2 linked regions of the Struthio camelus genome follow. The protein of the gene in region 1 interacts with the protein of each later gene in a pairwise test. Links are inferred from orthologs where the notes say so. Each region holds a gene or a part of one and is shown in the gene's direction. Other genes may lie near its edges. The genes, in order: CCNK and CDK18.

Region 1 (9,096 bases):
CATACACCAGCACATGGTGGAGGCCAAGGAACTGGAAGGCAGCTTTGGAGAGAAGGAGCTGTGGGTCCTGGTGGACAAGGAGTTGAACACGAGCCAGTAACACATCCTTGTGGCAAAGACAACCAACAGCCTCTCTGGTCGCATCAGTAAGAGTTTTGCCAGCAGGCTGAGGGAGTCAATTATTCCCTGCTACTCAGCACTAGTGAGACTACACCTAGAGTGCCATGTTCTGAGCTCCCCAGTACAAAGAGGGCGTGGACATACTGGACCAGGTCCAGCGAAGATCCACAAAGATGATTAAGGGATTGGAGCATCTGTCATACAAGGAGAGACTGAGAGAACAGGGATTGCTCAGCCTGGAGAAGAGAAGGCTCAGTGGGATATTATCAACGTGCATAAATATCTGAAGGGGGGGGGGGGGGGGCAGAGGAGGGTGACGGAGAATAAAGCAAGCCAGACTTTTCTTAGTAGTTCCCAGTAAGAGGGCAACAGGCAATGAGCACTAACTGAAATACAGGAAATCCCATTTAAATATGAGAAATCTTTTACTGTATAGATGATTGAACACTGGAACAGGTTACCCAGAGAGGCTGTGGAGTCTCCATCCTTAGAGATATTCAAAATCCAACTGGACAAGGTCCTGAGCAATCTGCTTTAATCAACCCTGCTTTCAGGAGGGGTTGGACTAGACAATCTCCAGAGTTGCCTTCCAACCCCAACCATTCTGTGACACCTCTTAAGGGCACCCCTTTAGACAACTAAGGTGTAAATACAGTCTTTCTTTCTGCCTACATGAACAGATAGTCTAACAAATAGTAAATAAAATACTATGTACTACTTTTGGTGTGCAGTTCTTCTCCCGAATATTTGGAATGCTCCCAGTCTGCAGAAATAGTATTTCTCAGTCATCTTTTAACCAAAGAACTTATTCATGAAAAAAGAAATTCTTAGACCACCTTGGACAGCGCTGTCTTTCTTAAAGAGAAGTTTTCACACATGATAAAGCTCGGAATTTTTGCAATCTGTTCACAGATCAACTTCTGACCATGGGTTGGGAACTTTACTTGCTGACTGGAAGAATTAAGGTTCTGGTAAAACTTCTATTTTTAAAAAAAACTTGAAAAAGCGAAATAAATAAAGGGAACAATACGAACATCTCTCCAGGTAAACATTTCTATACATTCTATACTTGTGCTCACATACATTCACAACATAACTGCAGACACCAAGACACTAGAGACTTAAATTACCTACAGGCAAATTTGCAAAACTGTATCTTTCAGAACTCTTCTTTTGAAGTATTTTAATAGAAACCAAAAACCTGAAAGTATCTGAAGCTATTATGTGGCTACAGCTATTAAGCTTTGTCATCAGGTAAGGGTAACTAACAAATGTTTCCAGGACTAGGCACAAAGATAACCACACTTGTTCCAACCCAGAGTTATTCAAGGTCTTTCCCCACACCACCACCCACTCTTGAGTGCTTCACTGGGGCAGGAAACAGAGTGCACCTTGGTTACCATTTATTCCCCTGCAGCCCTTCCCCATAATTCATATCCTCTTAAATTATCATCAATATAGGCACGCTGAGTGAGATCCAGCACATGGGAAGTACTGGACCTATGATGCAGGTTCCTTGGAAGAGGAAACCCACAGAAGATATCCTGTTTCCACTCTGCTAAAATAACAGTACATGAAGACTTGGGCACTAGTGTTATAAAGCATTAAAAATTTTCAAAGGAAGATTCTGCTATTTCTATTAGCTGCTTATTAAGACATACATGCAATGTTTGCACTGAAAGAGTTTTAATTTTTTGGGGAGTTGCATATTTCCATCGCTATCATACCCTACAATGTATTTGCTCTCATGCCCTACATATTATATAACATATAATATACATATAAAAATGTATGTGTATATATAATTTATAAAATATATTTTTAAAAAAATCTAGAAATTGACCTACATGCAAAAGAACCAAAGTGCTAGCACAAGAGCCCCAGAGATGCACTCTCCTTTCAGGCGCAGGTTGCTGGCACTCTAGCAGAAACAACTGCAAAGCAGCTAATTATAGCTGGTACATTTACAGTCCATCTTCAGTTACAAAGACAGTTTTGGCCTACATTAACACATTGGCTGAAAGCCATGGTAGTTCAAGCACAGTCATTCAGTCACTTCCAGCAGAGGTCCTTCAGAAATATTGAGAAGACATCAGAGAGTAAAACATAACAGGAAGTAGATACTAATCTGTCATCCCATGCATTTGACAGGGTTTAACAGCCTTGGGCTCAAAAATCCTTCTGAAATGTAGAAGAATCAAATTAGAAGTTCCATTTTCTTTTTTATTAGGACATCAGCAGCTAGAGGCTCAGAAACTCACCTTCCACCTTAACAGTGTATCACCTAGACCTGGCCAACTTTGAGGCATCTAAACACCTGTTCCCACGTATTCACTGGAGATAAAACTGAACTCAAAGTCACTCACATCTCAACACGCTTCAAAGAAAGACAACATGGAATTTTTCCTGCATCTGACAGATACTCTGCTCTAACCTGCATAACAGATCCCAGAAATGAAAACAAGATTTTAGTGCTACCTCTTCAGCATTCCAAAGAGTAAGGTACAGAAAAGTTAGCAGCAGAACTGCTGAACAGCATAGGAAAAGGGGTAAAGGACAGACAGGAACAGAACAACTGGAATAGTCAGTTGGTGGAAGAGATGTAGGGAAGAGCCAATGTAGGACAGAGGAGCTAAAAACAGAAAAAGGGAGCAAAGAAGGTTATGGCAGAGGAAGGGCAAGAGCAAGAACGTAAAGCAATGTAAAAATACTCGAGCACTAAACTTGTTTTTAATTACTACAATATAAGCTTCTTCACAGACTAAAACAGACAACACTAATGGGGCACTTTTACGGTAATATCAAAAACTCCTGCTGTGCTTTATTTATAGATTTGACTGGTCCTTTCACATAGTTTACACTTCATTTTTGCCTAAGATATTTTTAAACCTCTGAAATCAGATCTAGGAAGCTGAAGTACCTCTAAACTTAGTTGACAAAGGACAGTCAGAACTAAGTTCAGAATCCCGTTTACTGTACCATCAGTAAACAGAAGCTGTACCATCATAGGTTCACTAATATTATCGCAAGTCTAAAGCATCTGGAAAAAAGGTAAGTTAGCACTACTGCTGTACGCGCTGCACGCAACTACTCCGAAAAGAGCAAACTGTATTAAACCATTTCGATTTTAGGTGAAAGAAAAAATATATCATAAAAATATTACTATGATAAACAGCCAAGCCATAGAGTAATATCAAAAATAGTTACTAAAATTAGCTCAATGTTTATTTGATCCACTTATAAATTCCACCTATTTTACCAAATTCAGCTAGTTATCGGGAAGCAACTTCCAAAGACATTGAGTCTTATAATTAGAATCAAAGAACACTGTCTTGACAATACTTTGACCTGGCATGCTCAAAACACTCTTAAAACTACTAGAAAAGTAGGAAATGCGATCACTAGAGAGTCCGACATTATTTCTTTCACTTCTCTTGAACCTGATTAAATACTAAAACCAGAACTGCCTCAAATTAAGTATAAACTTCTGGTAAGAAACTCTTATATGGTAAATAACACAAAATGCTAAAGGGGTAAAGAAGAGTGGCAATATATAAGGCATCCAAAGACATGCTTTTGTATGTCAAACACTCTCACTTACCAGCTTGCTAATCCTGAACTGATTAATACCTAAAAATATGAGTTTTTTTCCCCGTTGTTCCACTGAAGCTTACTGTCTTCAGCAGGAGGAATGCTTCTTACTGTAAACACTTCCCTGAAGATCAGCGAAAGAGAGTTTATTAGCTGCCACACAGGCAACAGTTCAGGCTCTCTCTCTCAACGATTAATAACCTTTCCACATCCCTTATGAACCAGCTCCTTAGACATCTCTTTGACCAGAAGAGTAAAAATATTTACTCTGTACGAAAAAAAAAAAGCTGAAAACAATAAATAGACAGGCTAAACTCCCACTACTTTGCCATCCTACTCTTGTCATTTCATTTTTTACTTGAGTTTAGCTCTTTCTGAAGACTCCCACATAGTTTTTTCCAAATTCCTTTCTTTAAAGTAAAAAGAATGAAAACTGATGCACTCTCTTTTTATTCATATATTTTTAAATATAGTCTTCACTTATAAAATATTAATCTCACTTTATAAATCTAAAACTCACAACTGAGAATCAAGCAAGTCACCCTGGTTCAGACATCAGGGCACAGACAGAACTTGCAAAACAGCCCAGGCCTCCAAAAAGACTTGTTGCTTAACACACCGGCATCATATGTCCTACCTTACTTTACCAAGTGCTGAACATTATGATGTTTTGGTAGCAAAAATACAGATCCCCTGAGATCTCTAATACCCTCAGACTGTCTCTTTCTTTTAAAGAATCACCACCAAAACACTCATCTTCTGCAAAATACCCAATACATCAGTTGCACTGTATGAGCAGTATCATTATGGTGAAATATTATACCTAAGTTCATTGCATTAATTACAATAAAAATGTCACGAAGACGTTCACTTTTCTATACAGAGGGACATAATGGGTTTTATTTTTAAAGTATGTACAATATCACAACTAGAAGCCTATTTAAAAATTTAGATCCAACTTCGGCATATAGCTCAGACCATCCCTAACTGGAAACAGCAATATACAGATTACAAATTATTTCAGGGCTTAAGCTTCTCCCTCCCTTGCCAAGACCCTAGATCTATCTGTACGGGTGCCATGACAAGGATGTATTTTTCAGATTTTATTTCAACACATACTTCAATCCAGCTAGCTAAACATAACTGAAACCTCCATTAAAGTGAAAGCTAGCATGCTTGAATCTTTACCATATTAAATAACCTAACTGAGCACAAATATCTGAAAATACCGTCCTCTTTTGGCCCATCATGCTATTCTCTCTAACAACTTCTACACCTGCTTACTATTTTATACATAAACAAGATATCAGACATGTAGAACGCTACAGCCTCTTACTCATGTACAGTAGTTTCAAAATGCTTTATTTTGAACTGCCACTCTAACGTAGAGGTTAGGAAATTGTTCAGAACTAGAGACACATGCAAAATACAGCCTCAACTTAAGCAACTCTATACAAGTCCTGCTCCGAGTAGGAAAGGAAGATGAGGAACAGTTTCAATACAAGTTCTGTTTCAGCAACTTCTGTAGTAATATGGAGAGGTTGCAAAACCCAGGCTGTTGCAGGAGTAATTCCCACTCAGATAAGCAGTTTGAATCATATTTGGCCTAAATGTAAAACGTTTATTCTAATTTTAAGTCACTTTTTTTCCTATTAGGTTTAGCCCCTTTATAAAAGCAAGTTCCAGATTGCGTGAGAAAAAGAAACAAAATAGAGTGCTCTTTCACTGCCATGGAAAGGCACTAAAGAATCGCATACCAGCAGAACTGTTACTGAGCCAGATCCTGAGAACTGGAGGTATGGGAGGCTTTGGAAAGCTAGAGAAGTAGGAGTAGCGAGTATTCAAAATGTGTCACATGTAAAAAAAGGAATTACATCATGGAGAAAGCAGTTTTAAGCCATTTGTTTAACTCCGCTTTCTTATCAACGCCTGGGGGATGGGACAAGGGAAACGAGCATTAAGAAGTGAATGCCACTGCCTCAACTCACTCTGAAATCACGCCGCTCGGGTTTAAACAAAACCCACCCACGTCGGAGCAGAAGAGCAAACAGGCAGTGGGCCGCGGAGAGCACGCCAATCTCCGCTGGCAAGTAAGTGGGAGAGAGAAACAGGATGACGAGTGGGAGCCGCGAGGCGGAGCGGCGTCACCCCGCTCCCCGCGGCGGGCGGCACGGAGGCTGCCTCGCCCCCGACGGGCGGGCCGGCCGGCCGGCCGGTGCTGCCCCGCGAGCGAGGGGGGGGCGCGGCGCGTGGGCGCGCGGCGGCTAACGGCCGGCTAACGGCCGCCCGCGAGGGCGCGAGTGGGCGCCCAGCCTGCCCGCCACGGCGAGGCGGGGGCTGCCACGGAGCCGAGCGCGCGGGGCAGGGGGGAAACGCCGCGGGGAGAGCGCCTGGGGACAGCGCCGTGACGGGAGCGAAGGGGGCGGCGAGGCCTGGGCCGGCGCTGCGCGCCCCGCGGCGGGGAGGAGGGTGTCCGGAAAGAGTTGCGCGTCCCACAGGAAGGGGAAGCGGCGGGGCGGGCGGCGGGGCGAGGTTCCTCCGGGGGCCGAGGGAAGGCGCCGCTCCCCGCCGGGAGGGGGTCCGGGCCGGGGGCAACGGGATTGGGGCGGGGGGGAGTTGGTGGCCAGCGCTGGCCTCCCACTCAGCGGGCGGGGGGGCGCCGGGCGGGGCCCCGCCTTACCTCCCGCCCGGCGGCGGCTGTGCCTCGCCCGCTGCGAGCGGCGCCGAAGCCGAGCTCCTCTCACCGGACACCGCTGCCGGGGGCGGGCGGCGGCGGCCGAGCTAGCCCGAGCCCCGCACTCCCAGCGCCCGGCCCCGCCCGCGGCCCCGCCCCGCCCTCCGCCGCCGCCATTGGCCCAGCCGGGCCGACAAGGAAGACCCCGCCCCCTCCGAGGCCCGTAGCGGCCAATCCCCAGCGACCACCCCTTCGCCTTCGCTACCGGTCTTGGAAAAGGGCATGGCTGCTTCCCTCCCATTGGCTGCAGTTTAATCCGTGCCTCCGGCTTCTTACTGGCTGGCTCGGCTTGCAATCTTCTCGCTCCTGCTTTCTGATTGGTCATTCTAAGGCTACGGGAGCGCGTCGCGTGCCTCCTCCTCGAGCTTCGCAGACGCTGAAGGAGACGGGATTGGCTGCGGGGGCTGCTGGCTCTCATTGGCCGTTAGACGGCAGCGGCTCGGCGCTTGCGCGCTATGCCCTCGTGACGTCGGCGTGATGACGCAGAGAGCGGCCTGGCCTGGTTCCCAAGATGGCGGCGCGCAGGGAGCGGAGGCCGCGCTGTCGTTAGTGGCTCTGCGCTCCTGTGGGGTTTCCTCTCCTGTGCGTGGCCTGTGAGTGCGTTACGGGGCGCGGGGGGGGGGGCACCGGGGCGGCCCGCCTTCTCCGCGCCGTGGCCTGGGGGGCCTGGCTGGGGAGGAAGAGAAAGCAACGGGGAGGCTGCAGTGTCTGGCCGGGACAGGGAGCGAGCGCCCGCCCGGGCTCCGGAGGCCTCGTCTGCGGCGGGAGGAGCACCGGGGGGGCCGGGAGGAGCTGCCCCCACCCGGCCTGGGGGCTGCCGAGGCTGGGCGCTGTCAACTAGTTTGTTCAGAGAAGAAGAACAGAACAAAAAAAAAACTGAATCTTCTCTCTAAAGTCTTTTCACCTTTACGAGGTGGTAAAGAAAAATCTCAGGCCCCGTGTTATTTTGCTTTTGATTATTGTGGTCTTAATTGGAGAGTTTGAGGTGATTGCTTGGAATTCGCCTTTAGGGGTTTTAATATTTTGCCTGTTTGTTTTTTACAGATTTTCATTTGGGGATGGTTTTAGTGCTCATAAAAGCAGCTCTCTCGTTGCTTTTCAGAAAGGGAGTTTTAATGTTAGTTGAGCTTTAAACTACTTAGAACTTTAAGCATCAAAACGAACTTTGAAGAAAATGGTCTCCAAAACTTGCGGAAATAATACTTGATAATGGCAATGGGAGCGCGTGGTGATGCCACTGAACTGTTTTGCTGACTCTAGAAATGCTTTCAAGTAGCTATTCACTTATTTGTGACAGAGGTTGGGTTGATCTGTCACTAGTAAGACAGTGGAGGGTCTCCATATGTGAATACGGAGCAAAGGTGGTTTCCTTTGTTCTGAAAAAGAGAAACTTTCTGAAGGTAGAGAAAGGTATTTATTGTAGGCATAGGTATTCTGACTGTTCATGTAGTTTTCTTTTACTTTTGCGAGGGAAACATTTGGAAAATTAAGCTTAGCTTAATTTTAACAGCTTTACATTTGAGTCTTTCTTGGATTGTTATGCTTAGAGCAGTAAATTATATCGTCTGTTAATTAACATTCCCTACAGGAACCTTTGCAGGTGACTACAGTAGTTTGTGAGTAGTATCTCTAGTTTATTGAATTGCAGTAAAATAGTCTTATCCCTGTTTTCTAGTCTGAAAGAGATAAAGGTGCGAAGACAGTCTTCATTCTCTCTTTTAAGTGAGACATACGTGAACATCGGTCATAACCTAAATGCCAACAAGTTATCTGTGGAGCTGTATGCTGTCAATATAGATTTGTGATGTACAAGTCAGCACAGGAAAATAACATACTAATTGAGTGTAATCAGTTGCCTCATTTTGGAGGTGGTTTTAGATGGCACAGTACCATACAGACTCACATTACTGGTCTTGATCTTTATTTTTTTTCCTTTTTTTTCTTTAAATAACATACACACACAATTTACAAAGCTTTATGCCGAATTATTGCCACCATCTTACCACCCAGATATATCCAAGAGATCAACTATGTGTTTAAATTGCCATTCAGCCGGACCTAATGGATGGGTTTCTTAGTTATTGAACAATGGTCTGAATTAAAATTTTATTTTTTTACCACTTCAAATCTTGCTGTTACCATCATTGAATTGTTTTTCCTTATTTTGTGGACAAAGTAAGTGAAATTTGTACTGCTAAAAATAAGTGTTTTTAATAGTGTACTTTTGAATTTCTTTATTAAAGGGTTACTATCAAAGATGACCTTTGTTCTTTGAATTGAATTCCCAATATATGGGGGAGATAAGGGAGAGGTTAAGTATGACTTGTCTTTGAGAAGGGATAAAAAAGTTCCCTTTCTGGTATTTTTAAAGACATATGTTTTCCTTTTCTTAAAGGTTCTAGAGCTACTACCCGAAGACTTTCTTTTGAAAACTTAACAAGCAAGAACACAATTCTATTTTAATAAATGAAGGAGAATAAAGAAAATTCCAGTCCTTCTGTAAACTTGGCAAACCTGGACCATACAAAGCCATGCTGGTATTGGGATAAGAAAGATTTGGCACATACACCTTCGCAGCTAGAAGGGCTGGATCCAGCTACGGAAGCAAGATACCGCAGGGAGGGGGCCAGATTCATATTTGATGTAGGAAC
Region 2 (9,339 bases), on another chromosome or scaffold:
TTTCTGGTGTACACTGAACAAGAGAAGCGTTTGATCTGTTGTTTGCCCAGGCACATTCCCCTACAGTACTTTAACCCCAGCATTCCTCACTCCCAAGAAGGAAGCAGAGATTTAAGCTGCTTGGGGTACTTACTCATCTCTTTCCAGTAGAGAGGATTGTTCAGCATACTGCTCGCCCTGTGAACTGCCTTGGAAAAAGGGAAGCTTGTCAGTGAGTCAGTGGGGAGAGAGATGGATTGTTCCCTGAAAAAGTAACTTATCTCCTTTCTGCTCTTGCTTCACACCATATCATGAGGGACAAGGTCCACTCGTGGGAGCAAACTCCTTTGGTGCTGGCATTAAGTTGCTTTAGAAACACAGCAGTCTCTCCCAGCAGAGTGTCTCTGTGAAGCTAAGATGCTTTGACCTCTAAGAAGCACCTCCTAAACCCACCTGGACAGTTGAGGAGGCCAGTGCAAGGCCTAAGTGTTGTTATGTGGCCATCAGCTCCAGTTCTGCGTGTTGGCCTTGTGCCTGCTTTAAGGCTTTCCCTCTCTGCTGTGTAATAGACAGGAGGGCACACGCAGCCCTGAGCGAAATGTGAAAACCAAAGGCCAAACTTACTTACCTTCTAGTAATGCCTGCTGCCTGCAGGGCGGTGGATGCTTTTGATCCAAAGCTACTCACTGGAGGAGAAGTGTTCATCATACTCTCCTTGTGCATTTCTCTGGCTATGTCCACCATGCTGCATGCAGTTTTGCAATGGAATACATCTACAGTAGGATCCTGGAGGAAATACTTTGTGCATAATTTTTACTTTTTCATAATTTGGCAGCTTCTGGTTGCTAAGTGCGTGAGTCTCTGGATTGGTGCATCCGTTGTTATGGTGATGCTCCATGAGCAAAATTAAGAGGAGCTGCTGCTGGGATTCACCAGTTTGCAATTGGCTTGCTGGTTGCCATGGTCAGCTGTATTTTGGCCAACTATACTTTGTGGATAGTGACTTTATTTTGTGTGAAGCATGCAGCACATTAACTTTTGCAGTGATTTTTACCTCCTTTAGTTTCAGGGTGATTGGTCTTTTAAGGGAGTTAATGGATTCATTTCTCGTGTGTGTGACAAGAGTAGACTGCAGTTTGTCTGGGCTCGATTATGGATGTTGTCGGAGCTTTGCAGTGTGACCTTGAGGTAGCTCTCTTAGCAGTTGGAATCAGCGCTAGTGTGCATTAACAAGGCTATCGGAACTTGTCTGTCTTTCTCCTATACCTCAGTTCACCTATCTGTAAAACGGGAATAACAATATTCCTTTTGTCTTGCCCATTTACGTTCCCGGAGTCAGTGGAGTTGCAGATGCCCAACAGAGGTGCAATTTATGGGGGTGACTCTTAGACGGGGTGACCTAGAGCAGTTACACCCCTTGTTAACACTATGCAGAGTGGCATGCACACACTGAGCCTTGTGGTGCTGTAGCAGCCACCCTCCAGATGACAGAAGTGTTTTCATGTGGCCTCTCCAGCACTCCGTAAAAGCAGATCCGGACGTGTCGGACTGGGCCCTTTAACACAGGGGCCATTTGCCAGTTTTCCTTGTTTTAACAGCCAGCCTTTAAACTAAAGCGCTCTGATGGTTGCTGAAATGCAGCACTGCTCTCTGGGCAATGATTTCCACATGCCTGCGCGTGCACAAGGGAGAACTGTCCATGGGCAGGGGAGGGACTGAACACATTTTCTTTCCATGACTCGGTGCCTGCACTACTATTGAATGTCAGGGCAATGGGAAAGGGAATTGCTGCCTGGATGCAGTGACTGTAAAATATTCCCTGCGGACCTGCACACAGCCACTTGCCTTGAAGCAGGACACATGCGTGCCCACGTGAGTTTAGTAGTGGAGAAAACACGCTATGAGCATCTGGGGATGTGGAGGGATGCTCTGTGTGGCAGGGGAATGAGGCCAGAAGAGCTACAGGCGGAAAACAGGTGAAATCCCCCTGGAGCTGACCTGTGTTTCATAGACGAGGCAAGCACATTCATGTTGCTGTTTCTCTAACGCTCCAGTCTTGGTCATCACTAATATACTTTCTATATTTATTAGGATTGCCTGGCCTTTAATGAGTGGTGAGAGGACTAGGTTGCAAATTGGAGCTCTGAACCTTTCTCTAGGCAGACAGTAATGCCTACTGGGCGAAGCACTGTTCAGCAGTCGTATCTTTTTAAACTGGGTCTTATTGGGTCTGGCACTTCATCGCTTGGTCAGTTTTGGCACCTTCGCTCCATGCAGCTCCCTGCTAAGCACATCCGAACAGCTTCAGCTTTGGCTTTGACTCGATGCCTCCTGGCTTGGCAACGGCGTAGGTGAGCTCCTGTCTCTCCGCAGGTCACTGCACAGGGAGCGTATAACTTCTTGCGACAGGCGGGCAGGGCTGCCTCCAGTCTGGGGGAAGGTATTAAATGAGGGCTAAACAGCTTGTAACAAAAACTGCAGATTCTTATACCTGTCCGCAATGGGCACTCCCTACTGAAGTCACCAAGGACAGGTTGCTCCTTTCCACTTGAATCCATCTGAAGACTGCTGTCACTGCTGCTCAGCTTTTTGCCCTTTAGGCTAAACAGCCTGAACTCCCTCAGGCTCCTCCTAAGGCAGGTTTCCCAGCCCGCTGGCTGTTCATGCAGCTAGCCTTGGCACTTTCCTCCCTCTCTGCTGATGCTGGGTGCCGAGGGCTGGATGGAGTGTCCCCGATGGGGCCTCAGCCCTGCAAGGGAGAGCAGGGGAGGTTTTAATGTGTCTGGCTAGAAGCCACATGGAGAACATACATGAGGCAGAGGATTTTTTTACAGCACAGGCGCTGCACTGGCCCTAGCTCCATGCTGTGCTCCCAGAGCCCCCTCCTCGGACAAGTTTGCACGAGGACAAGGTGTGCACACCCTGGGCTTGCCCTCGTGCTGGCCGTACCTCTGGGACCAGCTCCCTCAGTGTGGGATTGTGCTCCCCACCACCCCGAGGCTGCACTCACCCCTCCGTGCTCTTTCTCACATCTCTGCAGAGGTGTTTGCTGACGGAGAGTGTTCTGGAGAAGAGCAGCCCTAGCAATCCCCTTGGGTCTGTGATTAAAATGCTACTCAGGATGCTGCAGCCTTCCCTGCTGCTTTTGGAAAATACTCTCTAGCTTGCATGCTGCTTGCAGTGTACAAAACAGAGGTAACATTTCCCTCTGGCTTAACAAAGTGGCCCAGCTCAGCAGCACTTGCTGCTCTGTCTCAGGGGTGGCTCTTCAGCAGAGGTGAGGAGGGTGAGTGATGTTGTGGCTCGAGAGCAGAAACAGGATTCCTCCTACAGAGAAGATGGATGTGTTCCTCTCTGTTGAAAAGGATGTCTGCCTTGCGGAAGCTGCGCAGGCAACTATAGGTGTAAATTGCGTTTGTAACTTGTGAGGAGTCCTAGGACTGTGCCAATGGCATGACCAGGTCAGAGCCATCATCCTTGCTTATGTGCATCACAGCCCCACTCGGGGATAGGATCCAACCTGCCGTGCCTGTTTGGGTAGAGACAGACACTAACATGCAATTCTCTGTCTCTGCTTGCTGTAGCCTTCTCTCTTTCACACCTCCTCCTTCTCTTCTCTCCCAAACAAATGTGCAGTTGGGGTGAGATTCTCTTTGCAGGAAGGTGACCACAGACAGGCGCAGGGGTGAGGAAGCAAGGCCTGTATCTTTAAGAGATGCAAGTGATATCAAAAAGGGAGAGCAGCTGTGGGCTGCATTCCAGCAGTCCTCTGACTGCACCAGGCAAGCGACATGCTAGGAACTGCGTAAGTGGAGGAGGGCAGGGGTTTGCTGAGCAAAGTATCCCCCAGCATGAGCTGAGGTGATCACAACCAAGGACTTCTGCAAAGTCTTACAGTTTCCCAGCCAGATCCATTTTCTGCAAAATACTCCTGACTGCAGTGAGCCCATCTTCACCCCAGATTTCCCCCGAAAGTCCATGAAGCTGTGCAATTTCACTGTGACAATGCAAAAAGGAAAAAAATAACCCTGCAAAAACAGAGTAATTCCAGAAAATCTTGCAAAAAAACCCCAAGCATATCTGTCTTCTGCTCAGCCATGAAGTTGGCACATTTGAAAAATGCCCTGCAGGCATTGCCTTGCAAATGCACTGCTCAGTATTGCAGAGGCATCCACTGGTGGGTGCCAAGTTCAACACCAGTGACCTCAGACCATGTTGCCCTTCAAAGAGCACACATTAAGGGACAGTTTGCTTTGGGCTATTATTGGTGGAACGGACGCAGCCCCATTACACTGTGTAGAGTCTAGTTAGTACTGTGCTAGAGTCTGCTGGGGAGATGTACTGTGTTTTTGACCCGCATGCTTGTGAACACCTATCACGCCGTGTAATGTGGCTCCTTTCCCGTTGTGTCTGTGAACGCACAGGCACAGGAATCTCTCCTTTTCTGGCTGTACCAGCGAAGTGCTTTGTCTCTCCACATCCTCCTCTCAAAGTCATCCCCATCAGGATTATAGCGATCCCTTCCTGGCGTGGTGATTATTGTAATTTATGTTTATGAGGAATATCACGCACCAATAAGCAGCTTGTGAAACACAGCCGCTAAGCTTGTGTCTCTGTCCACTAATTGCTTGTAACAACTGCTTCTTTCCCCTTGCACATCACCTCTTTCTCTTACAGAGCTGGTTTCTTTGTCAATCTCCAGTTCTGGGGCTTGTTCCACCTAACTAGATACAGCTTTTGCTGGGGTTATCCTCTGCTTTCTGTATTAAAATGAGCTTATAGTGCCAGGTGAGCAGCTGTCAGAGCTGTGGTATGGAGCGAGAGGCAGCAGTTGTTATGCTGAGGGCTGCACTGTGCTGGGAACTGCGCATAAATGTTTGAGACATCTCTCCACCCGAAGCCATCCCTGCTCTAAATAGATGAGACAGATGAGGGTGGAAGTTAGAGGTATGCCAGAGCCTGGCTGGACCACTGGGCTAAGGAAAACGTGCCAGTTTCTGCAGCCAGTGGTGTAAAGGGAACGTGATGGCTAACGTCACACAGAGCTGCCTCTGATTTTCCAGCCCACATGACCAGGTACTCATTGACTAGGGGTTAAGGGAGGGCAGCCTTCCACAGAAGCTGAGAGCCAGCCTTCACACTTTGCTTCTGGATCTGTGGTCTTTGCTGCTCCTCCCCAAGCCCCGCAGAACGAAGGATGCAGATCCCCGTTTTGCAGGTGGGGTGGGTTGGTGGGACACAGGCGGCTTGCCCAGCGTCGCGGAGGACTGGATCGTAGCCCTGCTGCAAAGTTTGCGTTAGTCCCCAGCTGGGTACTGTGCCCCAAGTGTGAACTCCCACATCTACTCCTGGAGGGTGAGTTGCAGTTCAAAGCCTATTCAGGCCTGTGTGCTCAGACTAGACTTACATTCACATGCTCGCTAAATGAGTTGACTGGAGAGCTGGTGTCAAATGTTTTACCCCATGCACAGAGTGGGTGAGTGTTGCTAAGGGCTTCAGGTCTTGGCTGAGTGTTGCTATAGACAGGGTGAAGGTGAACAAACAAAATGGAGTTTTGAACAGCGTGGCAGAACATCCCTTTCCCCCACGAGGTGCTCAGTTTTTATGCTTTTGCAATGCCATCTGGGAACCAGTTCTCTCTTCCTCAAAGTGTCTTCCAGCAAACTTGATGATTCTAATACAAGAAATGAGAGTTAGCAAGTTTCCCAAGACTCCCACATTCAGAAAGGAAAAGGGAAAGAGGAGTTCTGCGAGCAGCAGAACGAAGGAAGCCCAGATTTGTGTCTTCTGGATAGTCTTCCTTGTGGATTCTCAGATGTCTGGCAGGAAGTTCATCCTACATGCTTTCCTGAGATAGGATTTCCCTCTAGAGAGCTTCTGCCCTCTGTCTTCCTCCTCACCAGCTCTGCTGCGTGTCCTCAGGGTTCCCCTTCCCCATTCCCTGCGTAGATGGATTTTGTCCCTTCCCTGCACAGGTGTCCTGCTACCATCCCTCTGTCTTCCCCAGCCGCAAAACCTTTTGCACATCCCTCAGATTTGAGCATAACATCCCATTAATTTACAAAACTCTCCTGACAGGATGGTCTGTAGAGGGAGGGCAAGGATTAATATAGCAGTGGATATAAGAAACTAATTAGTTTCAACAGATGATGTTGGCACCTCCAGTCAGCCTGATTTATTTCCATGGTTGGTCTATTTTTGGCAAACTGAGAACGCTTGCCTAAGTATAAGGCAATAAATAGTTGCAGCGCGGAAGGCGAAGCTGCTGCTAAACGCGCAACCCTGCTGGAGCCACAGCGGCCAAAATTTCCGAGGCTGCCCAAGGGCCGCCCGCGCCTTAGCACTTCCCACGGGCTGGGGAAGGCAGAGCCGGGCTGCCAGCCGGCCTCAGCCTCCCGCTTCTGCCCAGGCTGCGGGGTGCCGTGCGCGCCCCGCGCAAAACCGAGGGCCGCCGCATCCGCCCGCAGCCTCAGGGACGGGTAGGAAGAGCTGCAGGAGGGAACTCCCCTGACCTCTCGGCTGAGGGTGCGGAGGGGTGTGTGTGTGTGTGTGCGTGCGTGCGTGTGCAGCTCCCCAGCCTGCAGAGCAGCTCGGCGCCCGGCCGCGCAGGGCGAGCAGGGCCGGCTCCAGCCCGCAGCAGCTCCCGGCGCATCCCCGGGCCAGCGGGGAGGGCGCTGGGGCCGAGCGCGGCTTGTTTGCCCGCGGCTGCGCTGGGGAGGAGCCAGCGCGGCACGGAGCGAGCGAGCGAGCTGCCGGCACCGCTCCGGCACCGGCACCGGCACCGGCGCCGCTGCAGCGCTGCTCCGGTTCCCGCTCCGGCACCGCTCCGGCGCTGGCCCCGCACCCCCGCGGAGAAGCTGCCCCTCTCTTCTCTCCGGGACCCGGCTGGGCACGGCGGCGCCGCTGCGGCAGGAAGGAGGAAGGAGATTGAGCTGCCCCCGTGGCCCGGTAAGTGCCTGGTGTAAACAGAGCAAAGGTGCAGCCGGGAGAGGGGCCCGGGCTGCCCCCCCCCCCCTTGCCCCCAGCAGCCGTTTGGCAGGGGCTGTCGCTCCCTTTGGAAGGACGGAGGGAAGGTTTCGGGACTGTTTGGGCACAAAGTGTTAGAGGAGGGGAGAGAAGAAGTTGGAGATGTGGTGAGGGAGGGTATTGGTGACAATCGGATTTATACAAGCGCAGCAAGAATTTATACCGGTCCCTTCCCTGGTGGATGAGATCCCTTGAATGTTTTGGTGGAACCATCCTAAAAGGGGTTTAGGCAGCCCTATACCACCGCCCTGCTGTCAGTATCGACTTGTCCAACGTGTGCTGTTTGCACACCTCTAGTGTGGGACCGTCTGGGAAGGAAGCAGGCAGGCTGAAGGGGAGGACGCTGCTGTCTCCAGTGTGAAAGTTGCCAGGGCTGCTTGCTGGGGGGATGCCACCAGGGTGTCTGCCCGGTGTGTTCCCCTGCTCAGGCAGGAGTCATTCTGCTGGCTGGTTGCAAGCACGGCGTTCTCCTTGCGCTGCACTTTTTGCGGCTGTCGGTATCAGCTGCATCTCACCAGTGCGCCTGTTGCTCTGACAAAGTTCCTAGGGGTGTGGAGAACTTGTCCCCAGAATGCCTGTTCCCGTCCTCACTGGCAAGGAGCTACCCAGGCAAGACAGCCTGTTGAGAGCTTGTCTCCCTGCTATGCCAGCACTGGCTCCTGTGCCAGTTGCGCTTCAGCAGACTGGCTCTTCTCGGCACAAAAACAAACTGGAATGAGCATGCAGGCTGGTGGGCACAATGGTGGCATTAACTCTGAAAGGGAGGAAGCATCAGGGTCAGGCCTGGGGCTGCTGGCATTGGGCTTTTTGTGCTCTCCACCAGCCAAATGAGTGGTGTGACATATGTGCATGCTGGGGGTTGGAGAAAGGACCTAAAGGGGAGGGGAAGTGCTTTGAACAAGCAGCAGGCAGAAAGTTCATGCCTCTGGATGAGTTTTGTAAAAAGGTGAGTGCCCTCTTCCTGCAAGAAAAATGGGATTTCATTTCCTTTTCAGTGGCAATTGGGCAGCATGTAGAGCTGCAGCATGCACTAACACAAAGAGCTGGAGCATGTGGTTAGATGCAAACTGAGCCTTGTCCTCCAGCCTCATGAGGCAGTGACAGGGTTTCTGGGTCACCCCATCTGTGGAGAGGTCACCAAAAACGTCTGAAAAGACAATCCTGAAATTCTATTCCTTTGATACAAACACCAGACCAACACTGATGGTAACTGATTAGTTACTATCGGTGCTGGTGATTGGCACTTAGCTCTCAAAGTGCATTTGTAGTCTAGAGCATCCTTTCCTCCCTGGAGGAAACACAAGCACATCAATAGGACCTGATGTGTCCAAGAGCCTGAAGCAAAGAAGGAGCAGAGGCAGGAACAGAAGGTGGGAACCTGGATCGCCAGGTAGCACCCTGTGCATGAAGCTGTACTGTTTCTTCTGTGTGTGTGTGTGTGTGTGTGTGTGTGTCCCCTTTGCTCTGATTTTTAGTCTTTTTTTCCACTGTCATACCAGAAAACTTCTGTGCCAGTTTTGATGTCCATTCTTCAGGCAGGACCACATCCCTTTAATGGGAGGTTTTGCAGATTTCACAGATTTGTTTCCAGGAGCCCAGACTCATGCACAAAAAAAGCATGGATGCCCTGTCGGGGGAGGGTCAGGGTGAATTAAGAAATCAGTAGTGGGATAACCTCCCCAGCAAAGGCTGGGAGTTCCTGCACTCTTATTCTGCTTGGAAAAGAGAAGAAATGTTGTGGCTAAAGAACAGGACTGTAGAGATCTGACTCTGTTGCTGGCCTTGCCACTGATTCTCTCCCTAACCTTGGACCAGTCACTGCATCCCCATGTCAGAGTTTCCCCATCTGTTAACACTTGACCTTGCATTGTTCGCAGAGGTTTGCTCGCTGAGATCTATAGAGCATGGGGATGCTGGCAGAGATAGGCGTGGAAGCACTAAAATATTTGCTTCAATGCTGTGAAGGCCCCTTTCACTAAGCGAGCACTCTTTGTCAGTCCCCTAGATGGATGCTTTGCTGGCAAGTCTGTGACAAAGAATGAAGTGATAGCGTCACATATTCAGGCATTACAGGTGATTGAAATACAGCAGACATGCCCTGTTGCTTTTTACTGGCTTGCAACTTAGCTGTTTTAAATATTTAGCTACCGCGTTTCATATGCATTTAGTGCTATTGTTGGTGTATTACTTAGCATACGTGGGCACGGGCTGGGGTAGAGCCCGACTGTGCCAGGAGCATGGGTGCAGTAGGAGACAGTTTTTGCCTTCTGTTGCTGACACTATAAGTAGACAAGATAGATGAAGGCGGCCTCATTTTGCATAGGGGAAAGTGAA

Evidence for each region.
Region 2: the proteins of CCNK (region 1) and CDK18 interact in binary tests that used the Homo sapiens proteins (3 or more experiments, as listed by UniProt). The two-hybrid records come from large-scale screens. The link is inferred for Struthio camelus from reciprocal best matches to the Homo sapiens genes CCNK and CDK18.

What each region holds. Positions count from the first base shown.
Region 1 is NC_090946.1:69,597,051-69,606,146, forward strand, and holds the start of CCNK (cyclin-K), read left to right. Parts: upstream 1-5,687; 5' UTR 5,688-5,801; intron 5,802-6,391; exon of another isoform or gene 6,392-6,539; intron 6,540-6,776; 5' UTR 6,777-7,038; intron 7,039-8,840; 5' UTR 8,841-8,911; coding exon 8,912-9,096. UniProt on the Homo sapiens protein: Regulatory subunit of cyclin-dependent kinases that mediates activation of target kinases.
Region 2 is NC_090965.1:7,314,613-7,323,951, forward strand, and holds the start of CDK18 (cyclin-dependent kinase 18), read left to right. Parts: upstream 1-5,272; 5' UTR 5,273-5,334; intron 5,335-6,518; exon of another isoform or gene 6,519-6,927; intron 6,928-9,339. UniProt on the Homo sapiens protein: May play a role in signal transduction cascades in terminally differentiated cells.